Linked DNA regions of Nothobranchius furzeri. The protein of the gene in region 2 interacts with the protein of the main gene of each other region in a pairwise test. Links are inferred from orthologs where the notes say so. Each region holds a gene or a part of one and is shown on either strand. Other genes may lie near its edges. The genes, in order: meox1, cwf19l2, gfap, nab2, mad1l1, calcoco1a and rint1.

The links.
Region 1: the proteins of cwf19l2 (region 2) and meox1 interact in binary tests that used the Homo sapiens proteins (3 or more experiments, as listed by UniProt). The two-hybrid records come from large-scale screens. The link is inferred for Nothobranchius furzeri from reciprocal best matches to the Homo sapiens genes CWF19L2 and MEOX1.
Region 3: the proteins of cwf19l2 (region 2) and gfap interact in binary tests that used the Homo sapiens proteins (3 or more experiments, as listed by UniProt). The link is inferred for Nothobranchius furzeri from reciprocal best matches to the Homo sapiens genes CWF19L2 and GFAP.
Region 4: the proteins of cwf19l2 (region 2) and nab2 interact in binary tests that used the Homo sapiens proteins (3 or more experiments, as listed by UniProt). The two-hybrid records come from large-scale screens. The link is inferred for Nothobranchius furzeri from reciprocal best matches to the Homo sapiens genes CWF19L2 and NAB2.
Region 5: the proteins of cwf19l2 (region 2) and mad1l1 interact in binary tests that used the Homo sapiens proteins (3 or more experiments, as listed by UniProt). The two-hybrid records come from large-scale screens. The link is inferred for Nothobranchius furzeri from reciprocal best matches to the Homo sapiens genes CWF19L2 and MAD1L1.
Region 6: the proteins of cwf19l2 (region 2) and calcoco1a interact in binary tests that used the Homo sapiens proteins (3 or more experiments, as listed by UniProt). The two-hybrid records come from large-scale screens. The link is inferred for Nothobranchius furzeri from reciprocal best matches to the Homo sapiens genes CWF19L2 and CALCOCO1.
Region 7: the proteins of cwf19l2 (region 2) and rint1 interact in binary tests that used the Homo sapiens proteins (3 or more experiments, as listed by UniProt). The two-hybrid records come from large-scale screens. The link is inferred for Nothobranchius furzeri from reciprocal best matches to the Homo sapiens genes CWF19L2 and RINT1.

What each region holds. Positions count from the first base shown.
Region 1 is NC_091756.1:48,793,307-48,797,258, reverse strand, and holds the start of meox1 (homeobox protein MOX-1), read right to left. Parts: upstream 2,801-3,952; 5' UTR 2,571-2,800; coding exon 2,072-2,570; intron 1-2,071. UniProt on the Homo sapiens protein: Mesodermal transcription factor that plays a key role in somitogenesis and is specifically required for sclerotome development. Required for maintenance of the sclerotome polarity and formation of the cranio-cervical joints.
Region 2 is NC_091753.1:35,482,046-35,484,405, forward strand, and holds part of cwf19l2 (CWF19-like protein 2), read right to left. Parts: intron 643-2,360; coding exon 430-642; intron 147-429; coding exon 30-146; intron 1-29.
Region 3 is NC_091745.1:10,096,034-10,100,120, reverse strand, and holds the start of gfap (glial fibrillary acidic protein), read right to left. Parts: upstream 2,801-4,087; 5' UTR 2,784-2,800; coding exon 2,245-2,783; intron 932-2,244; coding exon 871-931; intron 777-870; coding exon 681-776; intron 599-680; coding exon 437-598; intron 1-436.
Region 4 is NC_091743.1:50,555,446-50,559,697, forward strand, and holds the start of nab2 (NGFI-A-binding protein 2), read right to left. Parts: upstream 2,801-4,252; 5' UTR 2,666-2,800; intron 2,501-2,665; 5' UTR 2,446-2,500; intron 2,281-2,445; 5' UTR 2,232-2,280; coding exon 1,320-2,231; intron 1,182-1,319; coding exon 1,048-1,181; intron 67-1,047; coding exon 15-66; intron 1-14. UniProt on the Homo sapiens protein: Acts as a transcriptional repressor for zinc finger transcription factors EGR1 and EGR2. Isoform 2 lacks repression ability.
Region 5 is NC_091744.1:8,623,627-8,627,126, forward strand, and holds part of mad1l1 (mitotic spindle assembly checkpoint protein MAD1), read right to left. Parts: intron 760-3,500; coding exon 619-759; intron 451-618; coding exon 394-450; intron 1-393. UniProt on the Homo sapiens protein: Component of the spindle-assembly checkpoint that prevents the onset of anaphase until all chromosomes are properly aligned at the metaphase plate.
Region 6 is NC_091755.1:25,985,121-25,989,162, reverse strand, and holds the start of calcoco1a (calcium-binding and coiled-coil domain-containing protein 1), read right to left. Parts: upstream 2,801-4,042; 5' UTR 2,662-2,800; intron 613-2,661; 5' UTR 594-612; intron 556-593; 5' UTR 535-555; coding exon 403-534; intron 317-402; coding exon 214-316; intron 1-213. UniProt on the Homo sapiens protein: Functions as a coactivator for aryl hydrocarbon and nuclear receptors (NR). Recruited to promoters through its contact with the N-terminal basic helix-loop-helix-Per-Arnt-Sim (PAS) domain of transcription factors or coactivators, such as NCOA2.
Region 7 is NC_091741.1:64,270,813-64,274,312, reverse strand, and holds part of rint1 (RAD50-interacting protein 1), read left to right. Parts: intron 1-2,083; coding exon 2,084-2,249; intron 2,250-3,342; coding exon 3,343-3,453; intron 3,454-3,500. UniProt on the Homo sapiens protein: Involved in regulation of membrane traffic between the Golgi and the endoplasmic reticulum (ER); the function is proposed to depend on its association in the NRZ complex which is believed to play a role in SNARE assembly at the ER.

The DNA.
Region 1 (3,952 bases), on a different chromosome or scaffold from region 2:
GGTTTATTTAGTTTATATTTGACTAATTTTTCTCAACTACTTAACTCTCCTACTGATTTTCTATTTTATTTATTTTTTGATGTGTGTGAAGGAGAACCCTCACGAAAACGAGAAGTTTCATCTCACAGGGTTTGTCCTTCTAAAGTGTATGTAAACGAATAATTACAAAAATGTTTTGTTGCTTATTATTAGAGGAAAATGCAAATGTTCTAAAGGGCAACAACATCTGAACTACAGAAATCTCCTGAGGTGATTTAAATAAAGGAAAATCTGGAGAACTTGACATTTTGAATGAGCAAGCACTCGGCGACAGTAGGAAGAAAAGAGTTCATGCAACGTTAATACATGCTTTCATTTTTTTAAACCCAGAAATCTCACTAAACAAGATTCATTGATGAAATTTATATTTGATGCCAAATCATATGCTCCATGGCATGCATTAAAATACATTGTTGAAAATCGATGATAATGCAAACTGTGCTCAGTCCAAACACTGAGATAATGAGTAAACAAAGCTGCAGGCTGGATTTGATCTCAGGTAAACACAATCTAATGCAACTGTCAGACTGAAGTCATCATCAGATTATATGATTTTGTCAGCGTCAGCCTGACGTTCCATATCAGCACATGCAGACTGTACACCCGGAATGCCTTCAGGGCCTTTTCCTAATATATGCTCTTTTACCAGCTTGTCAATTTGAGGGCGGACTGCTCCGTTTTCTAAAATTGAGAGCTGATGTAGTGGTCGGACATGTTGCATGCACTCAGTGGGAGATTGTGTTACGGCTTAACGACAGGAAAATGTCAATGGATAAGAATGTGAGGAGTGGGCTTGAAGGAAAGTGAGTTTACCAGACGTGGTCTGGCAGGTTTTCAGGGCAGAGAGTAGAGGTTACAATAAGGTAAGAGGAGGTGGGGGTAAAGGTGTGTGTGTGTGTGTGTGTGTGTGTGTGTGTGTGTGTGTGTGTGTGTGTGTGTGTGTGTGTGTGTGTGTGTGTGTGTCTGTTGCACGAACTGGTCATTTTGATTTAAGTTTGGTCATCTCAACAAGTTTAAAATAAATATCCATTTCCCCTTATTTCCAACTCTGCGTTACATAAAAGGACTCTAATCACTGATTGTTTTCACATCTTTAAATACGTTTACGCCCAGCAAATCTTCTTGTATTAATATTAATTCTGGTCTACAGATGCTCGTCGGTCCTGCACATAAGTCAAAAAAGAAAATTTACTCAACAAATTAATTATTCAGGATCAATTACATTAAAAATATACTAAGTGTTTCAGATAATTAGAGCTTTTCCCACATTTAGTTTTATCAAGAACATCCGTTTCCTCTCATTAGCAGGAGTTTACATCAGAGGGTTAGATTATTCTGAACTTCTGCTTCTTTCATTGAGAAATACGTCAACATAATTCACAAGAATATATCTAAGGATGAACCGAGCCTTGATTTGGTGGATAGTGGTTTAACTGAAAGCTGCTGAATATGACAGCTTTAAACAGATTTGCTGTAATAACTATAGTTAGAATCACCTGTGAGCCACACAAATGTGAAACAATACTTGATTTCCAACAGACACAGAGACACAATGAAACACCCAAAGCCTCATGGATTATTTCTAATGCTTTTTAACAATAAGAGGATGCGACTGGAGCTTAAAGAGCAGCTAGAACACAACACTCTGGTCACCTACTCACCTCTCACACAGACAAATGCTGTTAAGACCAGTTTAGCGAGGAAACAACAGGGCTGTGCATCCTGCCAGCTGTAGTTCTTGAGCCAAATGCACAATTTTAAAGCTCTAAAGGTTTTGTGGGGTTATATTTTTTCACCTATTCACATTTGTTTAAAAACTATTATAATTTTTTATTAAATAAGAAAAGTTTGATAGTTTTATAACATTATTTCACTGTTGCTTTCCAATATTTGTATTCATATGATTATCACTGCAGCAGAAAAGACTTTTTCCATTTTAATTTCCTATATTTCCATTTGTTTAAAATGCTCATGTTTTCTCTTAAACCCCTCACTGAGAGTGCTTAAATGCTGTCCGTCTATCTGGACTCACCTGTGATATCTCTTTTCCTCTTATTGGAGCTTTTCTTGTCTGAGTCAACTGACGCCACACTCTGCGGTGAGTATTCTCCATCCAGACATCCTGGAACACTTCCTGGCACTCGTTCGGTCCCTACACCTTCCAGGTCAGGACCTCCGTCCTCTCCAGAACCTCCTACAGCGGGGGCGATGGGTGGACAGGCCTCGGGCGCTCTCACCCGAGTCTCGCAGGGGCTGAACTGCCAGTCGGCTCTCTGGAATCCCCCCTGGCTGTCCTGGTAGAGTCTATCATCTCGAGGATAGGCAGCGTGTGGCACACTTGGCACCAGGCAGGAGCTGGTGAAGTCCGTGTAGGCCAGGAACTCGGGCTTCTGGTGGAGGGAGAACGGGGCCTGCTGGTAGGGTGACTGCAGATTGGCCCCTGGGACCCCAGAGTGAGGGTTCCTCATGCAACCCCAGATGGGGCTGCTGGGATGGGCGCTCCGCATGCAGCTGCTGGCTGGCTGATCCATGGTGATGCCAAAACACTTTACAGTCTTTTTACAAAAAATTTCCTTCTTGAAGAGTTCAGAGCCTCCTCACAAAGTAAGGACTGGAATGTGTATCTTTATCACTTTGAGAGAAATTTCCACTTGAGTTGATTACAGATGAATCATCGATGGTCTCATCGCATCAGGAATACTCACTTCTGTGGAGCTGGTCACTCTTCCACAGCTCAGAACGTGTGAGGATGGACGCCTTCCTGTGACAGTGTTTCCTTCTCGCTGTGGGAGTGTAAGTGACGTCCTCTGATCAAAACACACACTTTCCCTTCGTGTCTCTCTCTCTCACACACACACACTCCTCTCCCTCACAAATCTAACCGGCTTGTGGCTCAGTGTGAGAGCTGCATCTGCAACTCCCTTTCTCTGCTGGCTGTTTTCACAACTCTTCTAAGGCATTCTTGACAAGCGAGCCCTCCTCCTTTTTAAACATATAGGTGGGAAATGGTGGCGAGTTTATGGAGTGTAACGTGAGACAGCAGAGGAGGAGCTGCTCATGAGTCCACATGTTGGTAGTACCCTCCAACCAACCCGTCCTCATCAACTATTAATCACGGGGGAAATTTTATATGCACATCTAATGGGCTTTCCAGACGCAGGGCTTTTTAAAGGGACATTGTCTGAAAAGTATAAAGCAAGCACCCACCCACTCCAACCTGCAGTAGTTGCTGGTCCCAGCCAGGGACCTTTTTTCAACTCCTCAGTACTTTCTGACACCCAATTTAGTTCTTTATTTGACACCCTTTAAAGGAACCCTGCAACCTTAATCCTTGCCTGTCCTCTCACACTTAAGAAATCGTTTTGTGTGTTTTTATGTGTGGGTGAACACACTACTGCCTCACACCACACAGTCCACCTGGCTGGACTTTCTACGGCTCTGAGGTGAAAGGACAACTGGAAACGATACTGGTTATGCAAGAGCTCGCACCTCTTGAGGTTCTTTGGTGAAACTCTGTATGGAATTTCAGAGCCATATTTCACAAAAGCAGGTTATTATTTTCTCCAAGCAAATGCTGTGACAGGAAGATTGCACCTTTTCATATATCAATATCTTGTATTTTGCTGGAAGTATTTTCTCTTGTCTGAGATTATTAATAATAAAGTATATTTATTTTTTAATCTCAGCTCTTCCCTATGTCTAAAACCCATTCTGTTAACCAAACTTTGGACACTCACTTACCCACTGAACCACACTATACCGACGAGCAGTTTTTCTTCTTGCTGCTCATATTCATGAGCTGACGTTTGTCCTAGTCTGTTTTTACTTTAATGCTGACCTCCTAAGGAAGAGAGGTGGTTCGTTGGACAGACTTAAAGGTGTGGTTCACTGCAAAAACATATTTTAATGATTA
Region 2 (2,360 bases):
AACACGCTAAGTCCTGATGCCGGACAAACCTGCATTTCTGACCAGATGTCCTCATCCAAACCAGTGGCAGAGCAGTGATGCTGCAGAGGACAGATGAGACACTGGCCTTCGGTCATGGACACGCCTGCAGGCAGGCTCAGATACACCTGGAGAACAAAACTACTTTACAAACGGTTTTAAACTATAATTCAAATTTCCAAAGCTAACATTAAGTTAATTTAGAGCTCTAATAACTAACTGTTCAACAGTCCAGGAAATTCAGAGTAAAAGAAACAAGTTAACTAGAAATCACAAACAAGTTAACTAGAAATCACAAACAAGTTAACTAGAAATCACACGTTGCTACAAACCAAAAAACTGCTGAATAGTTTGCCTCACAGATTCATTAGTTTTGTATAAATCTGCCAACATTCAACACCATCTCCTTACTTTGCTCCCTATGGCCACAATGAGATGCTTCTGAAGGTCTTTGCTGTTGAAACAGTGCTGGCACTTATCCATGGAGGCAGCCAGCCTCCTACTCTCAGCGATAGCCTTGCTCCTCATCCGCTCCTCCTCTCTCCCTTCGCCCTCCCTCTGGGCTGCACTCGACACAAACATGTCATCCAGCGTGTAGTTGTCGCCATCCATCTTTCCCATCATCTGGAGAAGTCCATCCCAGGCAGAAAGGGAGAGAAAAGGAGGAAATGGTAAGCAAAATAAAGTAATTCTACAAAAATGTATGTAAAGATAATAAAAGTGTGATATTCAAATACAATTAAATAACATAAAATATAATATAATAAAATAAAATAGAATAAAATAAAATGAAGCAGTGCCTATCCCAGTTTGTGTGTGTGTGTGTGTGTGTGTGTGCGTGTGTGTGTGTGTGTGTGTGCGTGTGTGTGTGTGTGTGTGTGTGTGTATGCTGTATCAAAGGCACCCTCTGAGTGTTCGAGCTACGAAGCAAGACGCACCGTATTCGACAATGTTACTGCTTTGGAGTCTTGTCACCATAGAAACCAGGGAACAAGTTGGAATGTGTGTACATGTGAGACTCCGGGTATTGGCGGGGGGTCTAGACATTATCGCGCAGTTACCATACAGCATTTGGCTACATTTTTTTTTTATTAAACACACACACGCATGTGCAAACACACACTCCCATGTTTGCAGACTAATTAAACATTGTATGTTCCAACTCCACCTGCCCTGATTTTTACTGCTGATGTTAATCACCGGTTTTATAGGAGTCAGCTGATGATACACGGAAATCTTCCAAAAGCATTTAAACGTAATGAGATGCTGAGCTTGTGTTTTGAGCTGAAGTCATGCTCGTCTACTTCCAGTCCGTGGGTAATTCATAATTAATGCAGAAATTAAGCACTTTCCATGTTTTGAAAATACGTTATTGAAATTCAAGTATTTTCAAGGACTTCAAGAACCCGTACAAACCCTGGGACACAAATGCTGCCTTGCTTCTGTTGATGTTTAAAAGCCACAAGAGAACACAGAAAGCAACACATTGGAGGGGAAAAATGTACTTCCTAAGTGTTTAATCTGACATCAAGCTAATGACTTCTATGTTTTCTTCTCCTCTGAGCTCCAATCAGAAACACTCCTTCACAGTGTGTACTGGGGAACAGCCATTACATCACAAAGGAGAGGGGGGTGTTCTTAAACTAAAGACACAACAGCAAAAAGAACTGAGTTAAGAAATCAAGTCAGAGTATAGATGTCATTAAGGATAGAAAATCAACAACAGGTCTCAGACTAACGTTAAAAAAAAACGAGTGGAAGAATGAACACACAACAGAGCCACAAACATAATCTTATTACAACATTCTTCTAGGAAAGACAGTATTCTCATGTTCACCTCAACATTGTTGAAAACCAGGCTCACAGTAGCCATGGTAACGGTACCTCCCTTCAGCAGAAAAAACAGGACAACCCAGACCCCTAGAATAACCTTGAGTCAAACAGTGGTCAAGCACATGCAGTAGCTGAAGATTTCGATCTGCAGTTCGGTCTAGCCACGCTCCATTGTAGCCTCAGCAGGTCTACCGCTGGCCTATAGGGCTGGGCGATATGGCCTAAAATCAATATCACAATGTAAGATTTCACCTTAATAACGATAAATGGACGATAACTACATGCACAGAAACAAAAGTTGTCCACTAGATGGGGCTGTCACATGTATTAGGTTGTCACATGTTTAGGGCTGCAACAACGAATCGATAAATTCGATGAAAATCGATTACTAAAAGCGTTGGCAACGAATTGCGTCATCGAGTCGTTGTGTTGCACAACTCTTCCAAAAGCCCCCTCCCCTCCCGCCCGCCGTTGCGCGCAGACCGCAGAGCCGGCAGGTGTTTGGAAGA
Region 3 (4,087 bases), on a different chromosome or scaffold from region 2:
TCCTACACCTATCTCCTGCATTACCTTCTGATAGAAAATAGATGGTGAAACTCTAGGATTTTAAAATCCTCACACATCTATGTCACACTATGAATTTGCATTCATGGTCTCGCCCATCTTGGCAAGCGCCCGTCCACAGGAAGGCTTGTTTTTTTTGCAGCAGGGAGAGCGAGCGGAGGGTGTTTTGGTGACAGTGACATGGCTGAACATGTTCTGTTAGCCAATCAGAAGCAAGACGTGTGCAATTCAATAATAGTAATGAGTAATTCTACTGTTTTCAGTCCATCTCTGCACCAGAAAACATCTGCATCTCATAACAGGAGCATCATAGCTTTATTTTTTTTTATGGCTCATAAGGCATTGAATTACACTAAAGAACACTGCACAAGTATTGAATAAATGAGTAAATCCCTCCTTTAAAAGTAAAATATTTGACCTTGGATCGGTACCAGTCCTCTGTCTCCTGCAGGTTTGAAGTGGCCATATTCTCGTACTGAACTCTGATGTCTCTCAGAGCAGCAGTTAAATCTGGTTTTGACACATCCACGTCAACGTGGACCTGTTGGGCCATGATCTGCTCCTGCAGCTCACGCAGCTCCTGGAAGAAAAACGTGGCAAAAGTCGTGATTTTGCTAAAATCTGTCTAGTTGTTTTGGACCAACTTCAGCGTTTCTTCATACTTCTTCATGAATTTTCTTCAGGAAATTAATTTCATCCTGCAGGGCCTCGATCTTTCTCTCCAACTGGACCCGACTGAGCGCTGCTTCATCCACATCCTGTGTGAATAATGAGAAACATCGCAGGATGACAGCAAACAACATTGAGATTGTCAATATTTTAAAGATTTTTTAATATTACTAATATTTCCACCTGTCTGAAGGCGTTCAAGCTGTTCTCTGCTTCCTGTCGGAGGCCCATTTCATCCTGCAGCCTGAGTCAAGAAAAATGTGAAGAGCTTCTTACTGAGAGTTCCCAGCCAGGAGGAATTAAATTACACTAAAATATTTCTGAAACATTTGATATGTATATATGTATATATATATATATATATATATATATATATATATATATATATATATATATATATATATATATATATATATATATATATATATATCACAAATGAGAGCACAATGTCTGGGGTCCTTGGGTCAGAAAAAACAAACTCCTGCGCAAAGTTTAGTTAGCTAAAGTTTAATTAAGAAAAATTAAACGTATTTTAAAAATGTGTTCAGATTTTTGTTTTGTCTTCTACTGAGCTGCAGAGGAGTGGCAGGACTCAGCTGAAAGAGCAGCGGCTTACGCATCATTACACTTCCAGTCTAATCTAACAGCCGGAGGAGACCTTTCCCACGGGATGGAACACACACACACACACACACACACACACACACACACACACACACACACACACACAGAGAGAGAGAGAATCCGTGTCAGCGCAGCACACAGACTGATCCTACCCACTAGAAGCAAATGAAACGTAGAGTGACATCATGCAGCTTCATGCAGAGGTTGCTAACAGAAAGAGCAGCACGAATTTTAAAAAAGGTGACCTTTAACCCCTGAAGCAGCAGCATCCCTATTCATCCTGCAATCTCTCACAGGACCAGCAGCTGCTTGGTCAGAGGGCAAAAAAAAAAAAAACCCTCCAGTTTCCACCCTGAGACTTTCTATTGGCCTGTCTCAAAATGAAAAAGCTGACATGAGGCGTGATGGTGGATGTGGAGAAAAGGAGCCGGATAACCAGCGGTGGTGACTTTGTGCTTTGGAGAAAGAGAGGAAAGCTACATCTGCCTGGCATTCTGTTCCCTTTGTGGAGCGCCACCATTGTGCTGCTTCATTCCTCCACACTGACTGAATGGCAGCGAGGGTTCAGTCAGGATCACGTTTGTAAAGAGGGATAGAGGAGTAAAGCCCAGGCAGACCACAGCGCTCTGCATTCCAACCAACCACAAACACATGTAAACAGAAGCGCTACGTAAATACAGACATGACAGGTGTATTTACAGGAATTAACAAAAACATTCTTCACAAGGTCAAATTACTCCTCTTTATGTAGTTTGAAGCACTGAGACTTTTTTGGGGGCTGTTCCGGTTTTCTCCTGGATTTATAAGCTGATGGGAAGAAAAGACTAGGGGAAAAGTTTTAATCCCATCATTATTTCTGTGAAGCATCAATAGGACAGCGAGCACACAAGACACACAAAGGCCCAGGTCTACTTTGGGACCGTTCTCTCCTACCTCTGCTTGAGCGTGCCCAGGTCTGCAGACAGGTTGTCCCTCTCTATCTCCAGACGAGCCTTGCCATTGGTGAGATCGTCCACCTGCCGTCGTAGATCTCTCAGCTCCATCTGGTAGATGTCCCCCAGGCGGCTAGGCTCCTTCCCCTTCAGCTGGTTCAGTTCTGCCACCAGAACTTTGTTCTGCTGCTCCAAAAGCCGCACCTTCTCTATGTAGCTGGCAAAGCGGTCGTTCAGGCCCATCATCTCCATCTTCTCGTTGGTACGAGTTTCTTTGTACTGGGCCTTCAACAAGGAGTCAGCTGAGAAGTCCAGCCGGTCAACGGGGCTGCCCAGCAGCAAGGCCGTGCTGGAGGAGCCCAGGGAGACCCGGGAGACGGGGCTGGAGTGGGTGATGCTTCGAGGGGCGCCATGCCAGGAGAGGCGGTGGGAAGATAGTCCACCTATTTTACCTCCTGAGCTGCTTGAGCTCTGCGGCCCAAAACGTCTCCTGTATGAGGACTGTGCTCTAAGGCTGTCCATGATAGGGAATAAGCTCATTCAGGGGACAAACAGGGCTTTTATATAGGGAGAAACCCCCCCACCCCAAGTCCAGCAGAGAGGCCACAGGCTGGGGCAGTGAGAGAGGAGGGTGGCAGGCAGTGAATGGAACAAAAAGAGATGGCAAAGGGGAGGTTTACATGCGCCAGGGATTGTCTGTGCTCCTCCACTCAACTACAAATGTCTCCTGGATTTTTTTTTTTACCCTCTCGTCTCCCCCTTTTCTCCCCTTGGGCTCACTCTTTCACGCTTACGTTCGCCCCGTTTTTGTTCGCCCTCTTTCTTTCTGTTCCAAGCGAATGAAAAGGAATTTTGTGCAACAGAGTCTGGCCACAAATTCAACCTGACCACACACACTCTCGCAGCCGCGGCAGGAGGACCGGTCCAAACAGAAGAGCATGTTGGGGAGGTCGGCAATAAAGACAGAAGATAAAATCACATGCTCACAGCATGCTTTGAGCTCTAAATAAACAAGATGTAGGACTGAACTATCAACATTCCTCCCGATTCCTGTTGGGATCTAGTTACGTAACGACATAACTGCTAATAAACTCGAGAATAATTTAAAACATTGGATTCATTTTTAGAGTTACAGGTTTTCCGTCCTGCATCCATATCTGCAATGCTTAAAATGAAGGAAGTATAGGAGGAGACAATAAATGAACACATTCTGAAAGTTTTATTTAAAGATAAACAGGAAGACAAATCAGCAAAGGTCTGACATGAGAGACCCTGCTGATCATCTGTGGCTCAAGCTTTCAGTGTTTGCGAGGCTGTTGGTAACAAATTAAATAAAGATTTAATTCGAACTGGTTATGGATCCACGCAGAAGCCAATCAAATAGTTCATGGACCAGAGCTAACATTTCTCAGAAAGGATTTAATCACTGGTCTGATAAATAATCATCAGTTATATAAAGCTACCTTCTCATTTCACAGTAGAGTAATACATGAATTCATCCTTTCAGCATTTGTGGGTAATGATAGCATTCATCCTGTCATCATCGTGGAGGATGCAAACCGCTGTAGAAGAAGAAAAGGAGTTACAAGATTTTGATTCTGATGATTGTGAACTAGTTTCAGGTTATTTGACATCCGGCTGCTTGGAGAGACAGATAGACGGAGTAGATGAAGAGGAGCACGACGATGAATACAAGAAGGACGGGGGGGGGGGGGGTTCGGTGAGTGCAAACCTAATCTGAACTTCAGAATGACAAACGGAGGCTGCATTACAAAACCCTTTTGACTCATTACCTTGACAACCGCTGGGCCGGCTACATCAGAGCACTTCAGCAAATCTTCTCT
Region 4 (4,252 bases), on a different chromosome or scaffold from region 2:
CTGTAAATGCTTACCTCATGTCTTGGTCTCTTATTACACAAACTGCTGTTCTCATCCGCATTCGGCCTGCAGAAGATAATAAAAAAATAAAAACTTTTAATTGCAATAAGAATTCTGCCAAAATTCCCAAAAATGTATGAACTACCGTTCCATTTTTGAATTTTAATGTAAACAATGAGATGTATGATGGAGTGTTATAGCCACTTACTGGTAAAAAAAAAATTACCTGGAATTTTACATGTAAAAATACTGTTTCTAGCTCATTAAACTGAAGTTTGATGATTCAGTGTCTCCTCAACTAGATTTATTGATTCAAAATTTAATTGCAACAAAATAATGTTTGTGTTTTTATAACTTTATTCTCTAACTTTTCTGATTAGATTTTAATAATTTGACCAAAAAATTATAATAATAATCCCAATAATCTGAACAGCAAACAATAGTGCTTAGGCCATGTCTGGGATTTTAAACTAAAGAACGTCAACTTTTGGAATCAAAATATGGTTAAAAATAAATAAATAGGTCAATGGCCTGTATCTGATAAAGCGCTTTATACGGTCCTGGAACCCCCCAAGGCACTTTACAACACAAACAGTCATGTATCCATTCACACACATTCACACTCTGGTGGTAATGAGCTACATTGTAGCCACAGCTGCCCTGGGGCACACTGACAGAGGTGAGTCTGTCGTACACAGGCGCCACCGGTCCCTCCGAACACCACCAGCAGGCACGGTGGGTTAAGTGTCTTGCCCAAAGACACAGCGACAGAGCGGGGCTCGAACCTGCAACCTTCCAATTATGGAGCCAGCACTTAACTCCTGTGCCACCGTTGCCCCATGCTTGCCCCAAAATTCTAGAATTGAATTGAGGTGTACTCTTTTTTTACCTGATTAACTTTTTATATAAAACCTGAGCTGTAACAGAAGAAATCTGAATAAAACAACTGAAAACGTCTAACTAACACTTTGCTTCGATCTGAAACTCGTGTGAAGCAGGTGTGTTTGTGTGGGTCAAATCCTCATCGCTCACCCCTACCTCACTCACCTTGTGCTCTTCAGTGTGGAGGTGTAGGCACATTTCCTGGCCACCTGTCGAGCCAGAGAAAACAGCTCCACCCGTCTGAGGAGAAGAGCGTTGTCGCGCATGCAGAACTGAGCTGCAGCTTCGTTGATGATCAGCTGGGGAGGAGGAGACACCGAATGAAGGAGTGATGGAGGCTTTAAATCAACATTTAAGGTCACAAGGTGAAGATAAAATCTGGTTTGTTGTCACTTTAGCGATCCGTGAGCTCGGGTGATGTGCTTGTTAGGTTTTACCTCGTGGTGTGAGAGCTGCTTGCCTTCTCTCCGTTTGGAGTCAAAGCGCCCGTAAATCAGACTGTATTTCCGGATCTCTTCTTCCTTGTTTGCATCCTGGGAACCCATTCTGAAGATGTGCCCCACAGTTTTTGCCATCTTCTTGTTCATCCTCAGCAGGGTTTTCACCTCTGTGAGATCAGACCGGGGCAGGGTCCTAAACAGCTGCTCCACGCTCTCCACCACGGCCCTCGCCGTCTCCCCGTCCAGCTGTCCTCCAGGCCAGGCTGACAGAGCCGAAGGGGCGAATGATGCAGATGGGACAGGAGATGTTGAAGGACCAGGAGGACATGTGGACAGTAGTGGCGGGCTGGGCGCCTCCTCCTCTGTTCCAGGTGCAGAAGCTACATTGCTATTACCATCAGGCTCTGGGCTGAGCCAGTGGGGGTCCATGGGGGACAGTTTTTCCCTGTAGTGTGTTTCTGGCGGTTGAGGAGAGGCCTGGGAGCAGGGGCTCCTTGGACTCCCACTGTACATTGGGGTGAGGCACGCCCGATCCTCCCTCTCACAGGGCGACCCAGGCTGCCCATTACTCACAGGCTTTCTGGGCCCGCCAGCTGACCCACTAGTGCCCGTCCCATCAACTTTGAACAGAGGGATCCCCCCGAGAGGAACGTTGGCGACAGGCTGGCTGAAAAGGGCAGGGTTCGCCGCCCAGTCTCGGAGAGCCTTCTGCAGCCTACGCACGTGCAGCGGCTTGGTGGCCATGCCAACTAGTGCCATGATTTCCAGAAACTCCTCCTCTGCAGCCTCACAGAGTTGTTGCACATCGTCACCGCCCTGCTGGATGAAGGTTTCGTAATAGGCCAGCAGGTTGGCCCGCTGCAGCACCCTGTAGAGTTGCAACTCCCCAAGTGTGCGTGGCAGAGACATGGCACACGGCACTGGAAAAGTTCAGGCAGGAGAAAGGAAACACATGAACCTGCAAAGTGGAAAAGTCCAGAGATGTTAAATATCCAGACAGCTCATTTTCAAATGCATCTATCAGGCTGAAGCACAAAAACTTTTGCATGATTCTAGGATTAAAAACATGATATTTTTCATGCAAAACACAAACGTGCACCAAGTACTCTTGAATCTTTCTTACCTTTTTCAGATGAGTTGAAACTTAAAGCAGTCTGGTCTTATTCCCTGGAATAAAACTGTGAAAGAAGCCAAATATTTTCCCTTATGGTTCTGATGTGAAGCAGTGAGCTGCTTGGGTGACTGGCTCCAGTCAGACTGAGCCAATCCTGAGCCAGATGTCAGAGAGGACTCCCTGCTCAGCGACACGTCGTCCTTCTCTACATCCGATTCGTTCCTCTTACCTCTTCACCGACAGCCTCCACGCCGCAGATCGCCGTAGTAAATCCCCTTAGCGCGTCGCTGCTTGGTCCGATATCACTGGCAGAAATCCTCCTCCGGCGCACCGTATTGGTTGCTGGCTCTGGCTGCCTTTTTGCTGTCTGTGTGGGCTGGAGAATGACGGGGGCGGGCTGCAGCACGCCATCTGACCGAAAAAGAGCCTTCCTCTCCCGGTAGAGAGGCGGCTTTCAAATAGGGGATGTGGGCGGCGGTGGTGGGGGCTTGAAATTAACCCTGTGCGTCTTCACGGCTCCTGACGCACACGCTGTGGGGGATTCCCAGTTTCACCACCACAAAGACCCCCAGACCTGAAGTCACCATTAGGTTAAAAACGATCAACTAATGTGGGTTTGCATGTAGGAGCCCACACGTGAACACGGGTTTTTGCTTGAACCTGTTTCTGTTCTCCAAGACAAAGAAAGTCTAAGAAAAAACGTCAGAAAAAGGTTAACGCGACTGTTGAATCAGATATATATTATATTATATAGTTAGAACCGAAAACATGTCAGATTTGAATCATGTTCTGAACGATTTCGTGGCACCAGCATCATCATCAACAGCAAGGCAGGAAAAATGAATCAATGATAAATGTGAACAGTGGCGGTCCCAAAGGTTGGTCAAGTGGGTGGGGGAGGGCACCCTTGCTTAATCACATTCATGTTCACCTAAACCCTTACATTCATCTTCTTTAAGCCAAATAATACATTAACTTTAATAAACCCTTTCTGTAATAACTAATTATATATATATATATATATATATATATATATATATATATATATATATATATATATATATATATATATATATATATATATATATATTAGGGCCGGGACTCGATTAAAACATTTAATCTAATTAATTAGAGGCTTTGTAATTAATTAATCTAAATTAATCACATTTTAATCGTTCAAAAAAATGTGCCCTCAAAGCAAAACTTGTAATTAAAATTATGAGACAGAGAATCAAACATTAGACATGGTTATTACTGTAAACTAAAGCTCTTAATTTAAAAAATGCCTTTTAATTATTCAAATGTCACTGTGTGATATGAAACAAGACCCAAATCAACTAAAATCAGAGTAGTGAGGACATGGACCATTTTCCCAGCTGCAGCCAGGTGCCTCTCATTTGTTTGACTACTTTCATTAACTACTGTTAGGGCAAAGAATTATTCTGTCTGGTGCTTTCAGCCCTGTACAGATATTACGTAAATGTTAAAAATATAGCTTACCGCAACATTTTTAAAGTTTCCGGTGCCACCGGGCAGCCGCAGCAGAGACGATCTCTGAAAAATGTCTGCGACATGGACTCCGTTGCTGTCTGGAAGTTTACTTTTTCTAAGTAAAGAAAAGAGGAGGACGTGTTTCCTAAATCCTGCATCAGTCCAATCAAGGCAACTTCTGTCTGTTTTTATCCCTTTTTAGTAGCCATTGTTGTGTGCGTCAGTGATATTCGGTCTACAAGGAAATTGTGCAATGACAAAGGTTCCGCCTTGCTCGAAATGCAAGCTGTGATTAAATGCGTTAATTTTTTTAACGCGTCATTTT
Region 5 (3,500 bases), on a different chromosome or scaffold from region 2:
GTGCTGTGGGCCAGCTCCGGTCCAGGTTTCAGCTCCTCTGCCCCACTGGAAGGGTTTCAAACACTGCCAACACCTGCTGCAGTCTGTGGCGGGGTGCTGCGGGCGTTCTCCCCACCCGCTGGGAGTGTTTGAAACACCACCATCCTCTGCTGGAGACCGTGGCACGCTGCTGCGCCCTGGTTGTTTATTCTGTTATTGTTACCGGTACTTGTCTTGCAATGTGAAATGCTTGGTCTCAGAGTTTGTAAAAAAAAATAAATAAATTTCCCCCCAAAATGCGACTTATATATGTTTTTTTTCTTCTTCATTATACATTTTATGGCTGGTGCAACTTATACTCCAGAAAATACGGTATAGGACCTATAATAACCTGCATACATTCCTCTTACTTACTGTTTGTAGCTGTAGCTTGAGCACCCCCATTTCCTCCTGTGTTTTAGTTAGCTGGGCCTGAATTTAAGCAAAAATTTAAAATATAACAGATACATCAGAGGAAAGCTTGAAAAAGACCAAATACAAGGGAAACAGAGGAAGAGGATTATTTAATAACCAGCTCACACATAGATAACTAGTGTGTGTTAAAGTCAACTAAAGCTTAGCCAATAAAACCATACACACCTCCATATCCATGTTGTGGTTCTGTGTCCTTTGCAGAACCTCCTCCGCCTCTTTGAGTCGATTTGCGAGTTGAGGAGAGTATTCAGAGGGAGCAAGCTCACTGTCATAGGACTCCAGTATGGCCCTCATCCCATTTCGCTCCTGTAAAACAAGTGAAATATGGCATAATTAAATCATAAAGCATTTTTAAAATCCTTTCTGAACAAACATCTGTGCGGGACAAATTGGAGAAAGTCCAATTTAAAGCTCAGCTCTCTCAACTGTCAATAAGCATGCTTCTTCTTTCGGCTCTTGTAGAGTACAGATGCTTTTTTCCTCCTCTCCTCCCTATCTTATCCCCAGGGCTCTTTGTCTGTCTTTGGGTGTACGACGCTTCTGCATTTTTTCTGGAAACTGGAAATTATTAAAAATAGACCTGGTCAGCTGGCCTCTCAACCCGATTGACAACATTTTCTCAACGATGATAACGGGAGAAGGGGCTCCCGAATGCCCCTCTGGGACAGATCCAGTTGGGCATATCATGGACTCCTGGAAACAGTGGAACCTGATCTGCTTATCTCAACTGTCTGTAGAGGATTCTGAAGACGTATGGATATTTGTGGTGTTGGTGTCAGGTTTCCTACTTTTTGGCCTGGGAGGCTACCTGGCTTACCGGAAAATTAACGAGCTGTAAAGGAATATTGGCTCTTTCCTGGAGCTCGGGGATGATTACACCACGCTGTGAATGCACAGACTCATAATTGTCGAAAGAGTCGTAGGCTTGGAACTTTGACTGAGATTCAGGCTCTGGCAAAAAAGATGGATGCAATTAAGGAGCGAGTGGACGAATCAGCACGGATTGGGATAGATTAACTTACGCCATTATTGGATTTTGAGATGTTGAGGACCAACGGAACTTTAAGACAGAGAAGAAATTATCACTGTCTGGCCCCAAAACAAATTCTTCTCTGAATCTGGTGCCCTTGAGCCTGTGAGGCTGAAACAAATACTCCCCCTCAGAAGTAGGGATGGGTACCGAATTCGGTACTTTTTAAGGTACCGACCGAATTCCAGAGTACCGACCGAGCACCGATTCACGTCATTTCAAACGGTGCCTCGTTTCGGTACCCGTCCATCATAACGAGAACTTGCCAAGACAGCTGCGCATGCGCAAGAGCGTTTTGTCGTCGCTTGCTGTGAACCAGTTGTAAACAGAGCAGCATGGTAGAGAGAACGCAGGCTAAAGCTTGGGTCCACTTCACTAAATGTGATGGGTAACTGGATGATGAAACCAGCGACAACGATCTAAGTGAGACATCCTCATCTTAATCTGCTCCGGTACGTAAATATAATTAGCTTGATATGTTAGCTTCCATTTCGCTAATGGTGCGTTCGCTTTCTCCTCGGAACTCAGAATTTCCGACTAGAACAACATGAACGCGCTCTAAATTTTGGCTTCACTTTACTAAATGTGACGGGTGAAGACGAAACCAGTGACGATCTAAGTGTGAGGCATCGTTTTAATCTGCTCCAGCAGCTAAATAAACTGTTTAAGATATCGTTAGCTTGATATGTTAGCTTCCATTGCTACCATTGTTATCAGCTAATGGTGCGTTCGCTTTCTCCTCGGAAATTCTAACTTCCCAGTAGGAAAAATCAAATGAAAAAAGATGGCAAAAGGAATGAAGATTCACAGTAAATTTAGTTCACAGTAAAGATGTTTGCTTCAGTTTAATTATCAGCTTATAAAACTACAAGGGCAATGTTAAAATACAAACAGTTGTATGTTATTTATCGTGATATTTATGAAATATTGTTATATATTGAGAAAAATATATATTTAATTATAAAAGAGAATTAAAATAATAAACACTCAAAAGTATCGAAAATTGGTACCGTTAAGTACCGGTATCGATTTGTAGGTACCGGTAATTAGTACCGGATCGATTCAAATGTCAAAGGTACCCATCCCTACTCAGAAGAAATGTGGAATGCTGCCGTCGCCATGGCAACTCTGTCTCCCTATCCCAGGCTGGGCGGGACTGCGAGCTGTGAAGGCTGCTGAATCGTTCCAGGAGTCACTGTGCCCTCTAAACCCAATGACCACCTCCCCCTGTCCAGATGGGGGTGATGGGCGCTGCTTATTGCGGCTGCATGCACTGACGTGTGGAGAGTCCCAAACCCTACCACCCCACCTAGTGGACACTCATGCTGTGTTATGTCTGATGTCTGTTGCATTTCTGTCTGAGGTGTTTTTTGCATATCAAAGCTGCCCTCCCTGTGGAGGGTAACTCTGAAGTGCCTTTTTTCCTCCATCTGACTCAATCCTCATGTAAACCCCTCTGATCTCTATTAAGGTAGCGCGACTTGGGTTGCGAATGACCACAGTCACCAATTCTTGTCATGTGTCTGTGTATATATGTCTGATCTCAGAATTGTGTGTACTGACACTAATTTCCCTGTGGGATTAATAAAGTATCTTTGAATTTGAATTGAATTGAACTGAATCCAAAAACTTCACCTGAACTCAACAGGAATGGGATTATTGGCAACGCAATCTGAACACTCAGTCAACACAACACCTTCTTTATGCTCAACTTATTTTGCAAACACAGCTATGCAGCAACATCTAGGAAAAGAGAGGAGCTGTAATAAACTCCTCTCATCAGAGACTGAGCAAACTGTGAGACTAGAAAAATACTTTCTACACCACTAGCCTACATGCGGGAGGTAATTACTGCAGCTCCGTCTCATGTGCCATGTCGGCATCCCATTTAATCCTTTAATAGATTCATTATGCGACAGTTGGCTTTGCAGGGTTCAGAAAAATGCACGCTTTTCTCTTATTTAAGCAATTTTTCTGATTTAAAGTGTTTCATTTAATTCATCAAAACCGAATGGCA
Region 6 (4,042 bases), on a different chromosome or scaffold from region 2:
TTTGCTAAGGCTTTGTGTTATTTTAGGTTTAATAAACACTGTTAAACCTTTTCAGAACTATTTCAGTTTGTGTAGAACAGGACTATCAATGCTTTCTGAACATATGCAACACCGTTTAAAAAATACCGCGATAATACCGAAAACCGTGATAATTTTGGTCACAATAACCGTGAGGTTAAATTTTCATACCGTGACAACCCTACTGGTCATTACCTTGAAACTGCACACAGCAGTTATTATCTGTGCCCTCCTGGTAATCCGCCGGGGTCAGAGCCCAAACAAATGTCTCGTAGTCCTTCACTGACGTCCATCCCACCTGACAAACATAACATTCTTACCATGAATTTTAAATAAACCTTTTATTTATCAGATTTTTGTAACGGCTGTGAAGGATAACATTACCTTGAAGAGCCCAATCCAGTCACTGCTGGTCCAGCTGTGCTGTGAGCTTAAGGTGTAGTGGCAATCTACTCTACTCTCCGGGAAGTAAATGCAGCCCACATTTCTAAACTCCACCTGCCAAGTCTTATCCATGGCAACACACACACACACACACACACACACACACACACACACACACACACACACACACAAAGCCAGGCAAGGCTGTTCCTAAAGGAAGAAAAAGAAATATATGATCATTTATCTCAAGTTCAAGGTTGATACTGTCATGTTTGGTTTGCTGAGCTGAATGTGAACGAGGTAAAAGGTGACAGCTGGTGAGCAACACTGAGCAAGCAGGAGTCGGTGAAGACACTAGAGCTAAACCTCTCTGACAGGAAGGGCTTTGAGCAACATGGCACATTATACGTTTGTGGCAGTGGTTATGTTGGTCATGGTAAAACTCACCGCGCTTCTTCATGAGCAGTACAAAATTTCTAGGCTCTCCCGACATGTTAGAAGACTCAGATTACACAGACATGGTATGAATCCTGCAACTGCCTAACACAAAGCATTATTACTTTAGCGTTATGTCAAATTTGACCTCCAGCATAGATCAGATGTCTAGAAAATAAAATGCTTCCCAATAAAATACAAGTCAACAATAACAAGGTGCAGGTTTTATAAAGTTTTAGTTTATTATTTGTGATTTCACTTCATTAGGGAGATTATTTACTGAGAGGGCCACTCTAAACTTGCATGTGAAGGGTAAATTGTATTTACATATCTTAAAGATAATTACAGATCAGGCAGGAAAATTTACAGCAGCTTTTTGAGGAATCCTATTACACCGCAATGCTTGAGGGCTATCGCAGGCAGGTTTAACATATAATAGTTAGGCAGCAAAATATCTTTCATCATATCTATAATTAAATATTTAAAATATCCCAAATGTAGAGGCTGATCCCAAAATTAGCTTTTTAAGTGAGTTGATATTATGGGAAAATCTAATCCGATGATCCTGAAAAACTGACAGCTAGAAGGCCTAAGATTTTTTCTTTTCTTTTTGATGAAAGCAACGTTTTGAGAAATTTATGATTTCTTAATTTCTATTTCTGACCATGTCTGCGTGCTTGCCATAATTGTTATTCAGAATAATTCCAAGTATGCTTTCATGAAAAACAAGAAAACTTCTAAATGAGTGTATTTAGCAGAGCAGTCAAGCTAAGACTGCTCTTTTTTGTTTTATTTTGAAATGTTACATCAGTGCTGGTAAATGGGGTATTTTAAATAAATAATTTGGCCTTGATCACTACCCAGATAGCAAGCTTACATTGAAACCATATTGATTTTCCATCTGAATCATCAGAAGTGTTGATATTGAAATCTTGATTCAAACTAGATGTTGAATGAATGTTGCAAAACCGATGAATCCTGCATGAAACAGCATGATATTGTAATAATTTCTCTCAATTGAAATATAAGGGAAAATGCATTGATCTGTAGTTGTGTTGAAATTTCAATGTTTTAATATTTAGGTTATTTGAAATACAATTTTAAAGGCGTTGATCTATATTTAATAAATAAATAATGTTTCAATATTAAATTTAGGTGCAAAATTATGCTGACTATATGTTTTAACATTGACAATGCAATGTGGATTCTACATTGTTTCGATATACGCTTGCTATCTGGGTATAGACTGGTATTGGGCAAACCTAAACAAAAACATTTTGGGTGATCTGTTATTTCTGTGCATTAAACCTCTCAGGTCAACAAGTATTTTTTTCATAATGATTGATTTATAGATGCATTGCGGGGACTTTCTTATCTTGCCAGTAAATGTTAAAATATGTTAAAATACTCTGTTATTTAACTTTATTTTAGAATTCTTAAACTTTGCTTTACTTGGAAATAATATCTGGTAACGTAATAGGGTGAAATAGTATTTTAAAGTCTTAATATTGTGACTAGCATGGTTTGTAATCTGATTTTTGCATTGTTGACATTTTGATTTGATTTTATGTCACTACGGCCTGCCATACAAGGCCCAGCAGAAGCACATGTCGAATAAACACGGCCACGCGCGGCGATGCATGTTAAATAAGACAAAAATGTAATGTCAGTCACTGTAGGCAGACATTTAATTATTTATCACTGTCAGACCAGTTAAGGTGTTGCGGGCACGAATAATCAAACGGAACAACAATGCGGGCTTTGTCAACCACCTAAAATTATCTGCGCACATTTAGGTCGAGTCCTCTGCGAAGTGTCTCTTACCTTTAAACCCCTCTCCTTAAATACCAGGCTGCGTTTGAGATAATACAGCTGCAGTCCAAAAGAAAAAGGGAAATGAACGTGTCTGAGTCCGCAGCGATATCTTTTTCTGTCTGCTGCTCCAGTAACCTGAAACAATAACAAAAGACCCAAAGCAAAACGCAAGCTTGACAGCTTTCACCCCACAGAACTCTGGGAGTTGTGGTTCATTACGGAGCCAGAGCGGAGACGTCAGGTTACCGTGAAAACTACAATCCCCAGAAGGAAGGCAGAGAACACGAGAACCGCTTCACGTAACTTGATGCTGCGCTTGTTTTTGGCTTGGACCACCTAAATGTCCTCCAATGAGAAGCTAAGGAAGGGAAATGAAAAGGTAACTCCTGTGATAGAAACAGTTTTCTTTCGTATGTTTTTATCTGGGTCAGGACCACTCATGTGTTCCGATACAGGTTTACAATGGTTTGAATAGTGTGTTTGTGTTAATTTAAATCAAATTATGGGTGTACTTCTTTCGTAGGACAAGTTGGTCCGTTTACGATTTTTAATTAAGTTAAATGAAATGACGTTAAGCATTTTGTAAAAAAAATTGTAAAATAAATAAATAATTGGCCAATAGGAATAAATGTTGCCGTCAGATCGTCGGCTAGCAGTGCCTACACCACGCTCAGGACAGTCCAGACTCTTCTCATGCATCGTTCCACAAATGTGGAATGACCTACCAAGCGCTACCAGAACAGGGGCTTCCTTTTCAATTTTCAAGAAACTCCTGAAGACCCTGCTCTTCAGAGAGCATCTTCTTAACTAGCACCTTGCCTGCACCCGTCCCCCCTCTCTACTGTCCACTCCTTGTTCTCTCCTCTCCATGATTGATGTCAAGTTGTTGTTGTTGTTGTTGTTGTTGTTGTTGTTGCTGTTAGCCTCAAGGGCAATATGCCGATTATCACTTGTAAGTCGCTTTGGACAAAAGCGTCTGCTAAATACATAAACATAAATTTTGGATCATTGACCCCCCCCAACCACACACACACACACACACACACACACACACACACACACACACACACACACACACACACACACACACACACACACACACACACAGTGATATTAATCCATGTTTCCAGGAAAAAATGTGGGTTTTATTTAGACAAATTCTCCAAATTATCCAGTAATCTCACTTTTTGGATGTCAGTCAGTCCTCTCACCTCCCCTGTTTTTGCAACGTGGAGGGTGAAAAAAAAAGAGAAAAAACCAAGATGATGTTTTGATGCTGAACAGCAGATGGCAGTATACCATTTTTAAAAATTCTGTCCCTTGATTTCAGCTTTTCCCATTTAGATCGTTTTCTCTACATCTTTAGGGCTCATTAGATGACCCAACTGCC
Region 7 (3,500 bases), on a different chromosome or scaffold from region 2:
GACCAGAACCCCGGGGCTGACTAAGAAAAGAATAACCACTCGGGCAGAGTTCAATCAGACCAGAATAATCAGATGTTTGCTGCCAAACTTCAGTCAGAAACATAAAATCCAGGTTTTTAGAGAGAATTAGATCATTGAGCAGGAAGGACTTATTGTTAACAGAGCAGGTATTTAATAGATTCATGCTGAGTGAGGTGGAGGAATCAGAAACTACAGAAACAGCTGGAGTTAGTGGACATAAATTACTGGGGTTAGATCCACGGTGTTTATAAAAACCACTTGTAGAGGGAACAGGAGGAGAAACCACTGAGGAATGAGGATAAACCGACCTTAAAAAACTTGGACGGATGAACCACGTCGCAACACGGCCTGGCGGGAATGCAGAAGTGGCGCACAGGTCACCAAACAAAGGACAAGAAGCTAGAAGATCACGCCGATGTTTACTAGATAAACAATGCTTTAAAGAAGTCTTATTCTCACCTGGATTCCTGCCCGTTTACCTCTTTTCCTCCGACGTTTTCCCGGGACTGGATAAACATAGCCGGAGGCGCGCAGCTCAGGACCGTCGTTTGGCTCCGGGCCAGTGCGTCACTCAGATAAACGAACAGGGAGGTACGTCCTTGATGCATCTTGGGCGATCGTGAACGAACGGAAGGACAAAAGAGTCTGGCGATCATAGGAGATGGTAGCAGGGACACTACTGAAGAGAATCGCAGACCGGAGCAAGGTGGAAAAGAGGAGGTTAGTGAAGAAAAGTTTGAAAAAGTGGCCGGTGACTGCGGCTAAGCCAAGCATAGGCGCCATCTTGTTGCCGACCAGAAGCGGAAGCGGAAATGTATCAATAATGGCAGCTCCGATGGTTTTCCTGTGACCTTTAGCTTTATGCTATCACATTAGGTTTTCAGTGGATACAGACCTGAATTAGACCTAGACTTGACCTCATACCCAGATCCTGGATCAGCCTGCTCCTGATCTTAAAGGGATACTTGTAAAATTTCCAAATTTTTAAATAATGTTCTTGAGTCAATATGTGCTAAAATGACCCTTTACAGGGTTAATGAAAGGTCACTCAGCCCCTATTGACCCCTGTGGCCAGAATATTCCACTTGCAACTTCAGACTGTCTGGCCGCTCAGTTGGGACTGACATATTGAGCTGACACAGCTGGTGCTGTAGTCTGCTTCCAGCACATTTCCTGCATGTTTTAGATCATGAACACATCTGATTTGTTTTAATTAGTGACAAATCACTCCTGCAGACACTAATTAAGGCTGGGAGACATTTCAGCTGTTAGATTAAGGCGTTAAAAAGATGAACGCACAACGAGGAGATAAACTTAGTTTTTGGTTCTACACACGAACCCTAGGGGGTGCTAAAAGGCAAGCCAAAACTGCATAGTTCCCCTTTAAAGAGACTATGTGTAGTTTTTACCATTCATTTCTGGAAATATCTATCAAAATGTTGTTGAAAATGAATTAAATTATACCCATTTGTTGAAAAATATTAGCAGCTTTGAAACATATAATTGTAAAAATCAGGTCTAAAATACATGGAAGCGGGTAATAATACACCTGAGCAATGCATTAGATGCCATGTTTCCTTCTACGGGAGCCCATGAGGACAAAATGCATTTACTGATTTGTAACGAACGGTTAAACCGTGGTCATTCTTAAATGTTGTTTTACACAGTTACCTCCACTTCTTGCCAGTGATGAAAGGGAGTCTGATGTGGTTGTTATTTAGCTAAATTATGCACTCCCCAGGGCTTTTTGACCCTAATGGGCATACATTGGTAAGGTCTTACTCCAACACAAAAATACAGCTTGCTTGCAACAATTTAGTTATTTACTGCCCCTATCGCCAGGGAAAATACACACTGTCATTTTAAGTTCTGACACATTCATTATTGGCCTTCTGAATATGTCCTCATCAGTACTGCAGCTTACGACAGTAGACATTTCGACTTGAACCAATATGACAAGCTCTTCTTGACACATGTGTCTTTCCTACGCTGAAGTTTTCCTTCCTTACTGTGGAACTGGTCCGTCAGCTTCCACTGCTTGTTTCCTTAACCTCCATGATAGAGATGACCTCATATCTCAGAGAGCCTCAGCTTCTGGTCAAGGTCAGCCTTCACCTCCACTTCAAGCTCCTCCCCTTTGTCTGCCCATTCAAATCATGCTTCAGCCGCTCAAGAAGAGGTTCCGATACCATTTCTGTGGAAATCGACAGACTAACTCCCTAAGCAAGGTTTGGCTCATACAACACTGGTCCGTACAGGATGGTTCTGGAGCTCTTCCTGTTTGTTTGGCCTAAACAGGTGGACAGAAACCTTATCAAAGTGTGCTGAAGCAGCATTTTGTTCACAGCAAAACCTGATGATGAGACCGTTAAATGTGTGTTTTGACAACAGGTATAATAATATCAGCAAATTTATTATCCGTGTGTTTTATTCTTTATGTCCTGTTGTCAAAAAGATACAATTATATTTTGCTTAATGTTTTGTTTTAAATTACTTTACTATTTAGTGTTTTTGCTTAAATTTGATCATATGTCTGTCAACAGTAGAGTTAACACACCCCTGCAGGTGTTAACTCTAAACTTGTCAGGGTGTTTTCTGCTCGCAGTATTAAAATTAATCTGTTAGTTTAAAAAAAAAGAAAAGAAATAAAATCATTAAAATGCTTGTAGCAATTAACATAAATATGCTGTATTAAATTAATCAATCAATCAGTCAATACTTTATTAATCCCAGAGGGATATTAGAGCTGGTAGTAACACCCACATTTGTTTACTTTTGAATATTTTGCCTTATAAGTTAGGCTTGAATGTATTTAATTGTATAGTAATTGTATTTAACTGTGAGACTAAATAATTTCCAGTAATTTCAGTTCCATGGTAGATAAATTAATAAGGATCAGTCTCACAGACTTGCTTTGGTTGAGACCCATTTGCTCCACCGAGCTACAGAGGTGATTGTCTGTGGGATGGAGGTGTGGAATTGTTGTTTTTCAGCAGCATTCTCCTGCTCTGATTTAGTCCCTTGTTTCTAATGATGACTGGTGTCATTTCCACCTTTCTCCTAATCAGAATGATATAATCATGTCAGTTCTTGGGTTATAAAATCAGTTTGAAACCTGAAAATTTACCACTTACATAAATTCCATTATTCCTCTCACCTCAACCTGGTGCCAGTAAACACGAGCCTAACCTCTTTTCAGCAACACATATCTATTAAACGCATGATCAGAAATATCACCATTAGCATAAAAACTAGCTACAGTAATGAAAAATGTGCTGCTTCCAAAGCTTCATGAATCAATCTAAATGTCCTTTTTCACAGCCAGAGTGGTACCTAACGCAAGTTCTGATATGGATGAGAAACAGCTCACCCTTCTTGATGGAAAAGATTCAGCCTGCCTTGGACCAGGCTGGTGTGGCCATCAGTGCACAGGTTTGTTGTTTTAGTGTGTTGTCGTCATACCTGAGTCAGTTCACCAC